Saccharomyces cerevisiae S288C: one gene and its partners. Changing the gene in region 1 together with any one later gene gives a genetic interaction. Each region holds a gene or a part of one and is shown in the gene's direction. Other genes may lie near its edges.

Region 1 (4,198 bases):
ATTGAGGCGGTCTCAGAGAGATATACCAAGATGGCACGAATAACATTTCTCCAGGCAGAAAACCTAGCAGACAAGACATCAGTGGGCTGCGCAGAAGTCGGTATCAGTATCGCCAGAGGGGACCTAGGATCGTTTTGGTTAGAATCATACTGCTTCTGGTGGCTATGTAAAGACATTTTTGGCAGCGTTAGCATGGAAGGGTCAGTGAAGGAACCAACATTATTGATATTGTTATTATTAATATTATTATTTTGTGATGATGGAATATTATTAGAGTTCAAAGAGTGCGTCGTATTGGTGCCAGCCGCAGCATCGACTATCGAATTTTGCCGATCGTGATCATATACGTTCAACTGAGCCGGGATAGTGGGATCGGAAGTCACAGCGTCGATAGGGTAAGGTATAGGATTGCGTTGCGCAAGCGACGAGGGTAGTGACAGGGGTATGTTCTGGCCTTTTTGTTGCTGCTGTTGATAGGCGGGATTAAAATGTTCTGACCTCATTCTGCCTTCCAGTTGTTGATATTGACTTCTGAGGTCAAGAGAGGCTCTTGCACTGTTCCGTTGGTAAGACATGGTGCAATGGACGGCTGGGTAAAGCGTATAACGCTCTCCTAAACCTTTGCTTGCGCGGTCATCTTCTCATGTAGTAGGTTGCATCGCCTTTTGATTAAAGAATGCGGCATGACCCGGAAAAAAGAGGCAGGTATTGGCTAATGACTACTACCATTATGAGTTTTTACCAGTATCAGCGCCATCATTAGGAGGATATATTAGCATTGGTGGACGTAAGAGCTCCTAAATATACAAGCATCGCCGTGATGTGTTATATATTGCAGCTTTATCTTGCTGGAGTGTCTACCGTATTTACTTCTACTTTTGGCATTTTTTTCGCCAATGCTGGCTCGAACAAGAAACTGCCTGCCATTTGAATTATTCATATATAAATACACTAATCATACGTGAGCATAGTGTGACAATTTCGGCGCAAGATATTAATGGAGCACGTATCAAAGAGGTCAATTGGGCAATTCTTTAAGAGGAAAACTTCAACTGTAGATGGAAGCAAATCACAGAAATGCGGAACCACTAACCAACTGCGGAAGCTGCTGCATAAAAGAAGGGTACAGAAGCAGGCAGTGCCGGTTGAATCCCAGTACAGAATTCCGGGTGATTTTAGGGATAATCAAAGCGTGAGAGTCAAAAACTCTATGTACAACAGCTCACCGTCAGTAACGCCATCTACGCATCATATCAATGAAAGGTATGTTCGCTATGACATCAACACAAGGCCTTTGGTTGTTGTGCTCGCGATCTCAATTGTATTTTTTGGCTGTCTCCTGGTCCTCAAGGACATCATCATCCAGTCATCAGAAAACATCCTGAGTGTTTCCAAATGGAAAATCATAGGGGCCTCCTTCATGGGTACGCCCTACACAGGTCTTCTCACGGGGCTCGTTGGCCCTCTCCTGTCACCATTTTCGGCTGTTTCGTCGTGGCTTTCATTCATCTTTTGACACAATGCGTCTTCAGTTTCCGGGGGCATTGCGTATGGAAAATCATGTCACTTTTTTTCTTCCACTTTTTCGTTTGACTTATATAAACGCACTTTAGTATAGTTTGCTTTATGTATTAGGTTATCTTGGTGTTCTAATTGATGTTCTTGCTTCCATTTGTCATTCGTCATTCCAGCTCTATTTACCTGCCCACGCTTCGATTTCGAGGTTTACTTACTGTAATCTCAAGAAACATACACATTTCCACCCCTCATAAAATGTTGCCTCTTTCAATTGAGCAGAGAAGACCTTCCCGCTCCCCCGAATACGATCAGTCTACTTTATCAAATTATAAGGACTTCGCAGTTCTTCACACCGATTTAAACCTGTCTGTTTCCTTCGAAAAGTCAGCCATTTCAGGGAGCGTTACATTCCAATTGAAAAAACTGCACGAAGGTAAAAATAAATCGGATGAATTACATCTGGATACATCCTATTTGGATGTCCAGGAGGTTCATATTGATGGTTCCAAGGCAGATTTTCAAATTGAGCAAAGAAAGGAGCCATTGGGCTCCAGGTTAGTCATCAATAACGCTTCTTGCAACGATAACTTTACCTTGAATATTCAATTTCGTACGACTGACAAGTGCACCGCTTTGCAATGGTTGAACAGCAAGCAAACCAAGGGCGGTAAACCGTACGTGTTTTCACAGTTGGAAGCTATTCATGCGAGGTCTTTGTTCCCCTGCTTTGATACTCCCTCTGTGAAGTCTACTTTCACTGCATCTATCGAGTCCCCACTACCAGTGGTTTTTTCAGGCATCAGGATTGAAGATACAAGCAAGGATACTAATATTTACAGATTTGAACAGAAAGTCCCTATCCCAGCCTACCTGATCGGTATTGCTTCCGGTGATTTGTCAAGCGCTCCAATTGGACCTCGTTCCACAGTTTACACTGAACCATTTCGTTTGAAAGATTGTCAATGGGAATTTGAAAACGATGTAGAGAAATTCATTCAAACTGCAGAGAAAATTATCTTTGAATACGAGTGGGGCACTTATGATATCTTAGTTAACGTCGATTCGTACCCTTACGGCGGTATGGAGTCTCCGAATATGACTTTTGCTACGCCCACCTTGATTGCACATGACAGATCCAACATTGATGTCATCGCCCATGAACTTGCTCACTCATGGTCTGGTAACTTAGTGACCAATTGTTCGTGGAATCATTTTTGGTTGAATGAAGGTTGGACCGTTTACTTAGAAAGAAGAATTATTGGTGCCATTCATGGCGAACCAACTAGACATTTCAGTGCTCTGATTGGTTGGAGCGATTTGCAGAATTCTATTGATTCTATGAAAGATCCTGAAAGATTTTCCACTTTGGTACAAAACTTGAACGATAACACTGACCCTGACGATGCCTTTTCCACTGTTCCGTACGAAAAGGGGTTCAACTTACTATTTCACTTGGAAACTATTTTGGGTGGTAAGGCTGAATTTGATCCATTTATTAGACACTATTTCAAGAAGTTTGCCAAAAAATCATTGGATACTTTCCAGTTTTTGGATACTTTGTATGAGTTCTATCCCGAAAAGAAAGAAATTTTGGATTCCGTTGACTGGGAAACTTGGCTGTATAAACCAGGTATGCCACCAAGGCCTCATTTTATTACGGCTTTGGCTGATAATGTTTATCAATTGGCTGACAAGTGGGTCGAAATGGCTCAACATTTGAAAACCACAGAGGATTTCCGGTCTGAATTTAACGCTATTGACATTAAGGATTTTAATTCAAATCAATTGGTTTTGTTCTTGGAAACTTTGACACAAAATGGCCATTCCAACAAGAAACCAAAAGATTTTGACTGGGCCAAGTTTCCCGTGGCATCTAGGGCACTGTTAGATATCTATCAAGATAACATTGTTAAATCACAGAACGCGGAAGTTGTTTTCAAGATGTTCAAATTTCAGATCTTTGCCAAGCTGCAAGAAGAATATAAGCATTTGGCCGATTGGTTGGGAACTGTAGGTAGAATGAAGTTTGTCCGTCCCGGTTACAGACTATTAAACTCTGTAGACCGTCGATTGGCACTTGCAACTTTCGACAAATTCAAGGACACGTATCATCCAATCTGTAAAGCTCTTGTGAAACAAGATTTAGGTCTTTGAAAAGGGACGTGTCGTAACATGAATACGTAAACAATTAAATATAACCTACTAATGAGCCTTCATTGCTACTTCTCTGGTTCTAATTAGTGGCGGAGTTCTGTGTCGTGCGATACGAATTTTGCACTTTTGTCACATGCAATCGAGGCAAAAAGAAAAAATAAATAATAACAACGAATATAAATACAAATCGAAAGAATTCAGATTGAATTCAATATTGCAGGGCTTTGAACACTGAGTTTGGAACTATCAGCCGTCAAATACGCATAAAATAACATCAAATACTCCAATAATGAATCAGTTAGGAGCTTTAGCCGTAAGTTCTAAATTGTAAACACATTTGCATCATTGAAAAACTATACTAACGCGTTAACCTTTTTTCTATATTTCTATAGCAAGTTTCACGTTTCACTCAAAACTTCTCCATGGAAAATATTAAGAGCGAGTTCCAATCCTTGCAATCTAAATTAGCAACCCTTCGCACCCCGCAAGAATTTTTCAATTTCAAGAAAATTTCCAAACCTCAAAA
Region 2 (3,636 bases), on another chromosome or scaffold:
TAAAAGAAAATGCCTCCGAAAGTGCCAGGAAACTTTCTCTTTTATGTCATAAACTATTATGCCTCCTGGATGTATTTCGCTATCCAAATGAGAACACTTTTACTTGCCTTTTATATTTCTACGTTTCAGAGCATTTAGATCCCGAGAGTCCCGATTGTGTACTGAGCCCCACTAACTTGCTTACTCTGCACCATCTTTTAAATTTGTCCATGACCTTAGGTCTTCAATATGAGCCTTCGAAGTACAAACGTTTCAAAGATCCAGAAGTGATAAGGCAGAGACGGATATTATGGTTAGGAGTTCAGTCATTACTTTTTCAAATTTCTCTTGCTGAAGGTGATGCTGGTAAATCAAATAGTGAATATATGGAGGCATATTTAACAGACTTCGAAGAATATATTGAAGCTTCCTCAGAGTATGAAAAAAGTTCTGCGAGTGAATCGAACGTGCAAATGAATGATATTGTTTGGAATAAGTACAAATTTCACGTCATTTTGAGTAAACTAATGTCTGATTGCACTTCAGTTATACAACATCCGCAGCTTTTCCACATTTTAGGAAATATTAAAAGATCTGAAGATTTTATGGCTGAGAACTTTCCTACAAGTTCGATTTACCAACCCCTTCATGAAAAGGAACCAAATGCGATCAAAGTTGGCAAAAGTACGGTTCTCGATGTCATGGATATTCAAAAAACTGAAATATTTCTTACAAATATTGTGGGAAGTATGTGTTTTTTAAACATTTTTGATGTCCTATCGTTACATTTTGAAAAAAAATGTGTTATGCACTGGGAAGAATATGAAAAGAACTATCATTTCCTTACTTTGAAAAGTTTCAATGCATACTTAAAGCTAGCAGGGTTGATATCTGATTATCTCGAGAATAAGTTTCAAGGGAACATTTTAGAGAGTCGCGGTTATATCATAGATAAACAAATATGTTTTATGCTTGTAAGGATCTGGATGTTCCAATGTCGTATTTTGTTAAGGTTTTCATACAAGCAAGAAAGTCAGAAAAAATTGGCCTCTTCCAGTATATCCACTAACGATAATGAAAAAGAAGATGAAATGATTGTCATTTTAGAAAGACTTATTAAACACATTCGTAACCAAATGGCACATTTAGTGGATCTAGCAAAGGGAAAACTTCAAGATAGTTACTTTGGTGCTTACCAAACTGTTCCCATGTTTAGATACGTTGTGTATTTGATCGATGTTGGCGGCTTAGTATCTGTGACAAATGGGTTTTGGGATAAGATTTCCAGTGATGGTGAAATACCGCCAAAAGTACAACAAGCCGTGAGATTGAAATGGGGATTGGACTGCAATAATTCGAGAAGAATCAAACAAAAGTTAATAAGCAGCCAGAGTTTGCAGAGTTTCAATCAAGTTCTGTTGTGCCAGATGGAGGATGCAGTTCTCTCCAGTTCCTTCGCAATAAAAGCCAATACCGCTATGTCCCAAAACACGGCTGAAGAATTTTTCAATATCAGCGAAGAAGAGGCTTTAAATCAACTATTGGAAAACAACAATTTTGATGCCTTCTGGGATTTATTAGGTGAAAATCTGAGCGATATGCCTTCTTTGTGAGAATACGGATATTTGGAAAGGCTAAAAAAAAAAAAACAAGCCAAAAACAAGAAACACTGTTATCCTCCACGTTTTTTCCACTGTTTTAAGACTCGACAAGACGGAAAGATTCCTCACATTTCGCAGTGTTTCTTTTAACCTGCTCGTCAATTTGAAAAAATGAGCATGGTTAGGCAGGCGGAATGTAATAGGTGCGGTGCGTATAAATAAGTATCTCGGCCGTTCCTCTATTGCGCTCGGCCGAGATGTCCTACATGCATAAAATAGATTAAAAAAAGGGATCACGATACTCAAATATGCATATAATAACAACAACACACTTTGCGGTAAATAGAAGGATAATATCGTAATCTTTTGCTGGTTTCGATGATGACTTGAAAAAATTCAATTACTCTTTCGATCATCTAGAAGAAGCATATCCATCGTGCTTAAAATGATTGGGTCCGCGTCCGACTCATCTAGCAAGTTAGGACGCCTCCGATTTCTTTCTGAAACTGCCGCTATTAAAGTATCCCCGTTAATCCTAGGAGAAGTCTCATACGATGGAGCACGTTCGGATTTTCTCAAATCAATGAACAAGAATCGAGCTTTTGAATTGCTTGATACTTTTTACGAGGCAGGTGGAAATTTCATTGATGCCGCAAACAACTGCCAAAACGAGCAATCAGAAGAATGGATTGGTGAATGGATACAGTCCAGAAGGTTACGTGATCAAATTGTCATTGCAACCAAGTTTATAAAAAGCGATAAAAAGTATAAAGCAGGTGAAAGTAACACTGCCAACTACTGTGGTAATCACAAGCGTAGTTTACATGTGAGTGTGAGGGATTCTCTCCGCAAATTGCAAACTGATTGGATTGATATACTTTACGTTCACTGGTGGGATTATATGAGTTCAATCGAAGAATTTATGGATAGTTTGCATATTCTGGTCCAGCAGGGCAAGGTCCTCTATTTGGGTGTATCTGATACACCTGCTTGGGTTGTTTCTGCGGCAAACTACTACGCTACATCTTATGGTAAAACTCCCTTTAGTATCTACCAAGGTAAATGGAACGTGTTGAACAGAGATTTTGAGCGTGATATTATTCCAATGGCTAGGCATTTCGGTATGGCCCTCGCCCCATGGGATGTCATGGGAGGTGGAAGATTTCAGAGTAAAAAAGCAATGGAGGAACGGAGGAAGAATGGAGAGGGTATTCGTTCTTTCGTTGGCGCCTCCGAACAAACAGATGCAGAAATCAAGATTAGTGAAGCATTGGCCAAGATTGCTGAGGAACATGGCACTGAGTCTGTTACTGCTATTGCTATTGCCTATGTTCGCTCTAAGGCGAAAAATTTTTTTCCGTCGGTTGAAGGAGGAAAAATTGAGGATCTCAAAGAGAACATTAAGGCTCTCAGTATCGATCTAACGCCAGACAATATAAAATACTTAGAAAGTATAGTTCCTTTTGACATCGGATTTCCTAATAATTTTATCGTGTTAAATTCCTTGACTCAAAAATATGGTACGAATAATGTTTAGATAATTTTTCAGTAATCAACTACGCAAGTAAAGCAGTAAATACGTTACTGCTGGTATTAATGTCATGTATTGAGGCAATGATGCTATGCTCTTAACGACATGTAGCTTACAAAACGTTCCTATGGTTTTACTGCATGGTATTTACAAATTAGATAGCAGTTCCATCCGCCCTTGACATATTATTATTCAGACAAGGTGTATATGAGCATAAATATGTATATATGCACATGAGGTTTGTATTAACCTTGCAACTGTACCAAAATACAATCTTCTTTGCTGCTATTTAACGGCGTATGTGCAGTTCATAAATGCGTGTTCTGTATAGTACATCCGCGCACATTCTTCCTAGCGGAAGACATATTAACGTAGCCCGTACGCCCTGGTTAAGACTTGGTATAGTTCCAATAATTGGAATATTACTGCATAGTGGTCCAATAGCAGGATTTAGCATAAACATGATAATATTTAGAGATGCTTTCATCCCTCTGACGAAGGTGGTAGAGAACAAGAAAATGAATA
Region 3 (7,235 bases), on another chromosome or scaffold:
AAGATTCGAAAGAAAGACTGAGGTGCTCCGCATAAAATCTTTATAAACTTTAGAAGTAAATGGTTTCGTTCAGAGGGCTGACTACACTAACACTACTTTTTACCAAATTAGTAAACTGTAATCCTGTTTCCACAAAAAATAGGGACTCTATACAGTTTATTTATAAAGAAAAGGATAGTATATACTCTGCCATCAACAATCAAGCCATCAATGAAAAAATTCATGGAGTCAATTTGGGTGGGTGGCTAGTATTGGAGCCGTATATTACACCTTCTTTATTCGAGACTTTCCGTACTAATCCGTACAACGATGACGGTATTCCTGTTGATGAATACCATTTTTGTGAAAAATTAGGCTATGAAAAGGCAAAGGAACGCCTTTATAGTCATTGGTCGACGTTCTATAAAGAGGAAGACTTCGCGAAAATTGCTTCTCAAGGCTTCAATTTGGTTAGAATTCCTATTGGGTATTGGGCCTTTACAACGTTGAGTCATGATCCCTATGTTACCGCCGAGCAGGAATATTTTCTAGACCGGGCTATCGATTGGGCTAGGAAATATGGTTTGAAAGTATGGATTGATCTTCATGGAGCCGCTGGTTCACAAAACGGATTTGATAACTCAGGGTTGAGGGATTCATATAAGTTTCTGGAAGATGAAAATTTAAGCGCCACCATGAAAGCTTTAACGTATATTTTAAGCAAATACTCAACAGACGTATACCTGGACACCGTTATTGGAATCGAATTGCTCAATGAACCGTTAGGTCCAGTTATTGACATGGAAAGATTGAAAAATTTGCTTTTGAAGCCGGCTTATGACTATTTGAGAAATAAAATTAATAGCAACCAGATCATTGTAATACATGATGCTTTTCAACCTTACCATTATTGGGATGGGTTTTTGAATGATGAAAAGAACGAATATGGCGTCATAATTGACCATCATCATTATCAGGTGTTCTCGCAGGTGGAATTAACAAGAAAAATGAATGAACGTATCAAAATCGCCTGCCAATGGGGGAAAGATGCCGTAAGCGAGAAGCATTGGTCCGTAGCAGGCGAATTTTCAGCGGCCTTAACAGATTGTACAAAGTGGTTAAATGGGGTTGGTCTAGGTGCCAGATATGATGGAAGTTGGACCAAAGACAATGAAAAATCTCATTACATAAATACGTGTGCAAACAACGAGAATATTGCCTTGTGGCCCGAAGAGAGAAAACAGAACACTAGAAAGTTTATCGAGGCTCAATTAGATGCTTTTGAAATGACTGGTGGATGGATAATGTGGTGTTACAAGACAGAGAATAGTATCGAATGGGATGTTGAAAAATTGATTCAACTCAACATTTTTCCGCAACCTATCAACGATAGGAAATATCCTAACCAATGTCATTGAAATTTTGTGGCATATATTTAAGGTCTTGGGAATGTGATGATTATTATTGGAGAAAAAATTGCCATCTAAAACTCTTTATATAACATGATGAGGTATACAAATAAAAAATACTTTATATCTTATAATTATGCAAATAAAAGTGCTTCCATCAACCGCTACTTCACTTTTTATCTGAACTATGAATGGGGAGCTCATGATGATTACCTGTTGATATTACGTGAGGCGGAAGAGAAGCACGAGACACGGGTCACTCTCGATATTACCGGACAGTTTACTTAGACTATGTAACGAATATGAGAGGAAGAAAAACAATAAATAAATACAAACCTCTCCGCAGTTTTATGAAAGAACAGGACAGGGCGTCTATACCGATTTTTACATCTATCTTTTGAGTGCTTGAAAGGAGACGCTGGACTATATCTTTAGGTTAAACATCTGTCAAATGGCAGCAGTACCCACCATCGACCTTACACTAGCCGATTCAGATAATGAAGACATATTCCATTCTTTTTCGTCTTCAACAAGTGTGGATAAGATAGACATTAGGAAAGAAAATGGGAAATTAAGAATGGCAGGCTTGGAAGTCGCCCAATCTAATGACGATGCAGCACGTCAAGCATTCCATGTTTTCAAGACGAACATATCAAATAATGAAACCTTCGATACTATTCTTTCAAAGAGCAAGACAATCACAGACAGTACCTTCAACAATGAAAAATCTTCCAACGAAGTAAAACAGCAGCAAGTCTTGAAGGAAGAAACGATGGGATCTTCCAACGATGAGAAGAAAACACAAGAGAGCAGCCCAAGCGCAGAGATGATAAAACTTTTTTATGAAAACGATGATGTGCCGTTATCCGATAGTTTTAAACAAAAAGAGGAAGGTAAAAGAATAAATCAGGATGAGCAAGTGAAGGAAAATATCTGTGGCATTTCTTCCTCATACGTCTCCAAAGACTACGATGGCGTTGAAGATGATTTCGAGCCTAATACTTGCCAGGACAGCAATTTGGATTTTCAAGAGGAGAAGTTAAACTTGAATAACAAACCGTCACAGCAACAGTTCAGCGACCCAGAAACAAAAGATAACAGTTTGAAGAGCGAAAACAAAGACCAAATAAAAGGAGTCACAACAACAAGTTATCGTGATTTACCTATTGAATCTAGTGCTTTCCAGGATTCTGAAACTCAAAATAACTCCAAAAACACTATACCTAACATCGTAAATGAAAAGCGAACGCCAGCATTACCGTCCAATCTAAGCTCTGTTGAGAGTTCCCTTAAAAACGAGACGGCCAAAGTAGAGGGGAAGACGACCGTTCGTCTTCCAGGACTTCAAAATAATGTTGCCTTACTTGAGCAAGAACAAAGTGAACTATTCAAGCACTTTAGTGAACAACCTGTCGATATTAGCGATTTTGGTCGTAAGATTAAAAGGAAGCATAGCGGAGATTTTGCAGATAACAAGATACTTAAAAGACCGATATTGCCCTCAAAAAATATGGACCACACAACACATAATTCACATGATTCCGAACAGAAAAATAGCTCGATTATTATTCTTTCAGATGAGGACGAATCTGGTGCCGGTATCAATGATATAGAAAGTCCTTTGAAAGTTTCTGAACCAAATACAGCTGATGCGCTTAGGAGCAGTGTACCAGAAGTCATATCTTTACTTGACCTACCCAATATTGACTTGAATAACTCAGTAATAAAAGAAGCAAGTGGCAGCAATTCAATTCCTACATCAGAAACAGACGCACAATCCTCGAGTTCGTCAGTTCTTCAAGGAACTATCATGACAGAACAAGCTACTCAATCCTCTCAACACGAATGTAACAGTTCACTTGATACTCTAAAAAAAAATCATCAAAAATTATTGAAGGATTTGAATTCTAGAGAGTCTGAACTACGTAATGCTCTCAGTTGCTGCAAGACAAACTCTGAAATTTTAAGAAGGAAACTAAGTAGAAGAGAAAAGGAGGTCTCTGATGCTGAAAAACATTGGCAGTTATTGTTGACATCGATGGCTAGAGGGGGAAGAACTATCAGCTCAACTCAGCAGATATTAGTTGATGAAGCTGAGAACCAATTAAACAAACTGAAGGAAAAAAGACAGTTGACAAAATCGAAGCTAGATTCAATCAATTTGAAAATGTATAATTATAACGAACAATGGAAGTCCTTTGTGCATTCGAAAAATATAAACCTGCAGAAATCTTTGGCTGCCCTTGAGCGGTCAGCCAGGGATAGTAAAGCTTCTGCGACCGTAAATAAAAGAAACGAATGCCTGGCTGAGAAAGAAAAGCTAGACCAAATGTTAAAAGAAGGAACCCTAAGCTTCAGTACCTACAAGCAGTTAACAGGGGAGATCCAGCAGAAACTGAATGACTTGAAACTGGGGGACCAACGCACAACTGATATCAATAGTGTATTGCCAATAGTACGGCAACCTCTCGCCAAAAGAGATTTATTTATTAAGTCCATTGATACTGCAAAAGATTTATTAGCCAAGAACACATCCAGGACAGAAATGACGAAGAGAATTCTTTATAGACATTTGGACAACTTGGTCTCTTATAAAAACTTTTTTGAAGACGGAAGATCCTTAATAGATATAAACAGAAGACACGTTGCACATGAATCGGCCCAAATATTGTTCACCAACGGTGTAAAGATGCCCATTGTTTTTGAAACATTACAAGATTACGGCATCAAGTTTTCTAATCCAGCCATTGTCAATCCTGACAGAAGAGCCCAATATTTTAAAAGCATCGAAGTTGCACGCGATCTCATATCAAAGTCTACTAGATCAGAGGATGCTAAACGAAAGATTACTCGATTTTTGAATATAATTGAAGAATTTCGTAAAGATATTGACACCGGATTTCCACCTACTCCTTTAAAAAGGGAAGGCGTCGGAAAAGCTGTTGTTGGGCTAAGACAACAAGGACTTAAGATGGACAGACTATATGAAAATTTGAGAAGATATAAGATTCCAATAACAAGTGAAGAATTACTGCAGCAAAGCTATTTATTTCCGGTAAACGCAGATCAACGACCTCCTTCAAACTGGAACATCGTGGAAAATACCGAAGATACTAGTTCTACAGCCAATGATCTATCGATGCAAGATGAATTTCACATCTCTAATATGCATGCAGCAGAAGATCAAGAACAGATTAGGGCTCTTTTAGAGAATGTCAAACAATCTGAATCCATTATAGACGGCGAAGCACTTACTCCCGAGGATATGACCGTAAACTTATTAAAACACCAGAGGCTGGGTCTGCATTGGTTGTTACAAGTTGAAAACTCCGCAAAAAAAGGGGGTCTGCTTGCTGACGATATGGGCCTGGGTAAAACGATTCAAGCTATTGCATTGATGTTAGCAAATCGCTCAGAGGAATCCAAATGTAAAACCAATTTGATCGTCGCACCAGTCTCAGTCTTGAGAGTTTGGAAAGGTGAATTAGAAACGAAAGTAAAAAAACGCGCAAAATTTACTACATTTATTTTTGGAGGATCAGGTAACGGAAAAGTTAAGCACTGGAGGGATTTGGCAAGATATGATGCTGTTTTGGTATCTTATCAAACTCTAGCAAACGAATTTAAGAAACATTGGCCGAAAAAACTGGATGGTGAACAAAATCAGCTACCAGCTGTGCCTCATATACAAGCTCTTAATAGGTTGAAAACCTCAAATGAATACTACTCTCCATTTTTCTGCAATGATTCAACGTTTTACAGAATTTTACTGGACGAAGGCCAAAACATCAAGAACAAAAATACAAGGGCTTCTAAAGCGTGCTGTACTATAAATGGAATGTATAGGTGGGTCTTGTCTGGTACGCCGATTCAAAATAGTATGGATGAGCTTTATTCCTTGATAAGATTTCTAAGAATTCCACCCTACCACAAGGAGCAACGGTTTAAATTAGACATTGGAAGGTTTTTTCAGAGAAATAAGCAATATCAATATGATAACGAGGATAGAAAAAACGCATTAAGAAAGGTTAGAGTCCTTCTAAATGCCATTATGCTTCGTCGGTCTAAGGCTGATAAGATCGACGGCAAACCTTTACTGGAGCTCCCTCCTAAAATTGTGGAAGTAGATGAATCACGCCTGAAGGGAGAGGAATTAAAATTTTACACAGCTTTGGAATCAAAAAATCAAGCACTCGCTAAGAAATTGTTGAACAATTCTACGAGGGGGAGCTACTCTAGCGTTCTCACATTACTACTTCGCTTAAGGCAGGCTTGTTGTCATTCAGAATTAGTTGTGATGGGAGAAAAAAAAGCGGAAGGTACAAAGGTAGCTAACGGCAAAAGCTTTGAAGATGACTGGCTCAGGCTCTACTATAAAATCACTCACATGAGCGGAGAAGCGCAGGCTCAGGTTATTACTTCAATGAATTCTATGACATGTTTCTGGTGCATGGAACAATTAGAACCAGAAGCGATGTCCGTTCTGACAGGTTGTGGTCATTTGATTTGCGACACTTGTATCGAGCCCTTCATCGAAGAGTCATCCATGCTACCTCAGGCCAAGAAAACCAAAGGTGGGGCATTTGCTATCCCATGCAAAGATTGTCAACGTTTGACAAACGAGAAAGATATTGTTTCGCACAAGTTATACGACCAGGTAATAAACCAGGGATTTACTGAGGAAGATTTGCATGCAGAGTATTTAAGTGAAATGGAGAAACAAAAAATACAGCAAAAAAATGTATATGTGCCAAATTTTGAGAGTTTAGAACCATCTACGAAGATAGAGCAATGTATACAGGTTATTCAAAGAGTTTTTGATGAATCAGCAACCGAAAAAATTATTATTTTTTCCCAGTTTACAACATTTTTTGAGATTCTCGAACATTTTCTCAAAAATAAACTGAATTTTCCCTACTTGAAATATATTGGATCAATGAACGCTCAGAGAAGATCAGATGTTATCAACGAATTTTATCGTGACCCTGAGAAAAGGATACTTCTGATTTCCATGAAAGCCGGTAACTCAGGACTAACATTGACATGTGCGAACCATGTAGTTATAGTTGATCCATTTTGGAATCCTTACGTCGAAGAACAAGCTCAAGACCGTTGCTATAGAATTAGTCAAACAAAAAAAGTCCAGGTGCATAAATTGTTTATAAAGGACTCTGTTGAGGATCGTATTTCTGAATTACAGAAGAGAAAGAAGGAAATGGTCGATTCTGCCATGGACCCAGGCAAGATAAAGGAAGTGAATAGTTTAGGGCGTCGGGAGTTAGGATTTTTATTTGGTTTAAACGCTCTTTGAAGAACTTGGTGAATTTTGAAGCATTATTGCGATACACATATGTATATGTTGATAATTGGTGGCTAAGCTTCTAGTTTGTAGGCTTAAGTAACTTCACTCGTTGGCACTTACGAGCTTGGCATTTAATGGAACAGAAAATAAGCCGTAAATCGGCCCTACTTTAAGTATAAGAAATATGCGAAATTTGATATGATCGTTTGAATTACTTTTTGAAAAAGAAAATACCATTAGTAACATACAATATAAGAAGCTCGTCTCCTGGATTTGGAAATCCACAAAAGATTATCAACAATGCCACGAATAACATAATTGCTTCCCCCTCCTGTTAATTGCTTTAACTCATTATTGCATCGTTAACAGTTGTTACTAAATTTGATTTTTGTTTCTCATCATATATGTAATCTTCAAACGCCAGTATAATTATACGCTCGCAACAGCTACCATACATTAATGAACCGATGAAAATATCCCGTTTGATGATAACTGGCAATTAAATGACAGTATTAATTAATAATCAAAGCTGATCTTATATTCCT
Region 4 (3,802 bases), on another chromosome or scaffold:
GATCGATATTATAGAACATTATACGAAAGTTTATTTGACCCCAGACTGGTGAACTCTTCTAAGCAGGGTATTTACTTGAATTTACTATACAAATCATTAAAACAAGATGCACTCAACGTTGAACGAGTAGAAGCCTTTGTCAAGAGAATTCTTCAAGTTTGTTCTCATTGGTTGAACGTCGGCACCATTACTGGTTTTTTCTTCTTATTAATCCAGTTGGCTAAAACAGTTCCACAAATAAAAAATCTTCTAACCAACACGCCAGTTGATTACGAGTATGAATCTGATGCAGAAGAGGAGCAAGGGGACAAGGACATAAAAAGGAAGGAATACGACGGCCGCAAGCGTGATCCAAAGTTCGCCAATGCTGAAAAATCTTCTTTATGGGAAATCAACAACTTCATCAATCATTTTCATCCTACTGTGAAAACATATGCAAACGCCTATGTGACAGGAGAAACAGAGCAAATAGCTAAACCAGACCTGGGTCTATTTACTCTATCACACTTCCTTGACAGATTTGTCTACAGAAGTGCCAAGCAGACCAATACAGCAAGAGGTACATCTATTATGCAACCTCTGTTTAGTGGCTCACGAGTTAATGACTCTGTCTTAGTTAAGGCATCTGATATTATGCATGACCAGGGTCCCGTGAACACTGAAGACTGGCTAACTAAAAAAGTTGAAGATATCAAACCTGAAGATAAATTCTTTTATCAATATTTCACTACCAAGAAAACCGCTGATGGAAAAGGAAAGAAATCTAACAAAGCATCTAATTTCGATAGTGATGACGAAATGGATGAAAATGAAATTTGGAGTGCTTTGGTTAAATCGAGACCAGATGTTGAAGATGATAGCGACGACAGTGAACTTGACTTCGCTGAAGATGATTTCAGCGATTCAACTAGTGACGATGAACCTAAGCTGGACGCAATTGATGATGAAGATGCTAAAAGTGAAGGCAGCCAAGAAAGCGATCAAGAAGAAGGCCTCGATGAGGATATTTTTTACAGTTTCGATGGAGAACAAGACAATAGTGATAAAAAACGTTCCTTCGCTGAAAGTAGTGAAGAGGACGAGAGCAGCGAAGAAGAAAAAGAAGAAGAAGAAAATAAAGAGGTATCCGCAAAAAGAGCAAAGAAGAAGCAGAGAAAGAATATGCTCAAAAGTCTACCGGTATTTGCATCTGCCGACGATTATGCTCAATATTTAGATCAAGATTCAGACTAGAAAATAATAATACATTAACTAAACACTTCGGTGTTGTAAATTAAATAAGGAAAACAGAATTTTGTACAATAAAAAACGGTCCAATACGAAACCTTGAAGCGAAAGACGCATATCAGAGTTTTGCTGATAACTCTACTTATGTCCGCTTTTCAACATTATTAGAGCGGGAGTAAACGGAAAAAGAGTAATGCGGAAATAGAAACGGATTTTAGCTACAACTATGTCAGTTGAAATCGCCGAGATTGCTGACATCGTGAGACGAAACTAAAAACGATGGAACCACGTGACTCCTATTAGAAATAAATAATCCAGAACTCATTTTTAACCATTTTGTTTATATAGGCACATTTGTAGCGACAATTTTCTGTTAGCTAATTGCAGTAAGCAAAACAAATTTGTGAATACTTGATTAATATTCTGTGAAAGATTTTTTAATTATGAGTACCAATAAGTTCGTTGTACGAATAACGAATGCGCTCTTCAAGTCATCACTGGCTAGCAACAGTCCACCTGTTTACCCTAAGAGGATTAGGCATTTCGAGATTTTACCCAACGAAAAATGGGTTATATGGGGACCTGGAAAGGGCAAGTTCTTGGATGTACTGAATAACAAGTATATTTGTGAGCCCCCATTATCTTTGAGGTTTGGATTTTTGAAGGAAAGTTCGAACATCCTGCCGAGGATAGAGCAAGTGGCCTTCAAAGGGGTTATGCCAACGGCTCATTTAAGTGCTAGATATGAATACTTCAAAGATGACTACGATCAAACCTGCAAACAGTTTATATTTGATAAGGCAAGCGGATCAAATGCTGTTTCATATAAAGTTGAGACGAACAATCGGCAAATAAACATGGAGCTGTACAATGCATTAGTTGAAAATTTAAACCTCTCCAGTTTACAGGATAGGTGGGTAATGGGATTGAGTAATGGACAAATGAGGAGAGCAAGGTTAGCTCGTAGTATACTCAAGGAACCGGATCTACTACTTATTGACGACCCATTTTTAGGGTTGGATCCAGCCGCAATAGCAACCATTTCACAATTTTTAGCCAAATATGATAGTATAGAAGTCAGTGGCGGATGTCCAATCGTCATTGGTTTGAGGTATCAAGATACCATTCCAGCATGGTGTACTCATATATGTTGCGTTGATGAGAAAAACGGTATATTGTTTGAAGGCCCAATCGAAAAACTTCAAAGTAAAATGGATGAAACCAGATCAAGGGCACTAAAAGAACTAGAGCAGCTCAAAAAAGCGTCTAATTCCAAAGAGGACATTTCCATTAACGATTTGATTTGTATACATCCTATGTATGGCAAGAAAGAGCACGAAATTATCAAAATGCCTCATCTTATAGAATTAGACGGGTTGAGCGTTTCATACAAAGGCGAAGCTGTTTTGGAAAATCTGCACTGGAAAGTTCAGCCGGGTTCGAAATGGCATATAAGAGGTGACAATGGGTCAGGTAAGTCGACCTTATTATCTTTGCTTACGGCGGAACATCCCCAATCGTGGAATTCGAGGGTGATAGATAATGGCGTCCCACGAAGAACAGGTAAAACAAACTACTTTGACCTAAACAGCAAAATAGGTATGTCATCACCCGAATTACACGCAATTTTTTTGAAGAATGCTGGAGGAAGGCTAAACATTCGGGAAAGTGTTGCAACTGGCTATCATGAGGCGTCCTCCAACAATTACCTACCCATATGGAAGCGCTTGGACAAAAATAGCCAAGAAATAGTGAATATGTATCTGAAATATTTTGGCCTGGACAAAGACGCCGATAGTGTTTTATTTGAACAGTTGTCCGTAAGTGACCAGAAACTAGTCCTTTTTGTCAGGTCTTTAATTAAGATGCCGCAAATATTGATTCTCGATGAGGCATTTTCTGGAATGGAGGTAGAACCTATGATGCGTTGTCATGAATTTTTAGAGGAGTGGCCTGGAACAGTCCTTGTAGTGGCACACGTTGCCGAAGAGACACCAAAATGTGCCCATTACTTAAGGCTCATATCTCCTGGAGAGTATGAAATAGGCGATATGGAAAATTAAAGTTTTCTGTTGTGTGGCAGCAAGAGACAGAACCTCGATAATTTGACATACGTATATAATAGTACATGTACATAAAAAGCTACGCAAATATCGTATATCTGTTATACTACAAAACAATTACTTCTATATCATAGCCAGTTAGCGGGAACGACTTCAGCTAAATGGACTATCCATGCTTTAGGCAGAGGCGAAGCGCGGTGATTGGGTGTAACATCATCTCCTTTTCTCTACGACAAATTCCCAAAAAAAAAATTTATGCTATGTTAATACCTGCACAATTCAACCGTGCTGAAACGTAAAATTAAGGTGATTATACGGATAGTATACGATATTATCAATCTCATAAGAAAAATCTCTTTTGAATTTAACGGAGGGATTATTCATTAGAAAGCGTTCTTACCATTCACTAGGAGCGAATCCGTGGAAGGTGTTTTAACGTTGCCACGAAAAACAGCTCTACATCGAAATAAAAGACAACAATCAGTGCCCGTAAGTTTCATTACTATTTTCTA

Evidence for each region.
Region 2: mutations in LAP2 (region 1) and AAD3 together harm fitness less than expected from each alone (positive genetic interaction), as found in Saccharomyces cerevisiae (one large-scale study listed by BioGRID).
Region 3: mutations in LAP2 (region 1) and ULS1 together harm fitness less than expected from each alone (positive genetic interaction), as found in Saccharomyces cerevisiae (one large-scale study listed by BioGRID).
Region 4: mutations in LAP2 (region 1) and YDR061W together harm fitness more than expected from each alone (negative genetic interaction), as found in Saccharomyces cerevisiae (one large-scale study listed by BioGRID).

The regions. Positions count from the first base shown.
Region 1 is NC_001146.8:541,307-545,504, forward strand, and holds LAP2 (bifunctional aminopeptidase/epoxide hydrolase), read left to right. Parts: upstream 1-1,656; coding exon 1,657-3,672; downstream 3,673-4,198. Other genes in the region: SLM2 (phosphatidylinositol 4,5-bisphosphate-binding protein), read right to left, coding at 1-575; YNL046W (uncharacterized protein), read left to right, coding at 998-1,516; YIP3 (Yip3p), read left to right, coding at 3,962-3,985, 4,065-4,198. UniProt on the Saccharomyces cerevisiae protein: Aminopeptidase that preferentially cleaves di- and tripeptides. Also has low epoxide hydrolase activity (in vitro).
Region 2 is NC_001135.5:311,865-315,500, forward strand, and holds AAD3 (putative aryl-alcohol dehydrogenase), read left to right. Parts: upstream 1-2,025; coding exon 2,026-3,117; downstream 3,118-3,636. Other genes in the region: RDS1 (Rds1p), read left to right, coding at 1-1,592.
Region 3 is NC_001147.6:690,636-697,870, forward strand, and holds ULS1 (translocase ULS1), read left to right. Parts: upstream 1-1,839; coding exon 1,840-6,699; downstream 6,700-7,235. Other genes in the region: SPR1 (glucan 1,3-beta-glucosidase), read left to right, coding at 60-1,397. UniProt on the Saccharomyces cerevisiae protein: ATP-dependent helicase involved mating type switching and in silencing interference through its interaction with the silencing regulator SIR4. Cooperates with UBC4 and UBC5 to mediate ubiquitination of SUMO conjugates.
Region 4 is NC_001136.10:572,494-576,295, forward strand, and holds YDR061W (uncharacterized protein), read left to right. Parts: upstream 1-1,670; coding exon 1,671-3,290; downstream 3,291-3,802. Other genes in the region: RNA-binding ribosome biosynthesis protein MAK21, read left to right, coding at 1-1,233.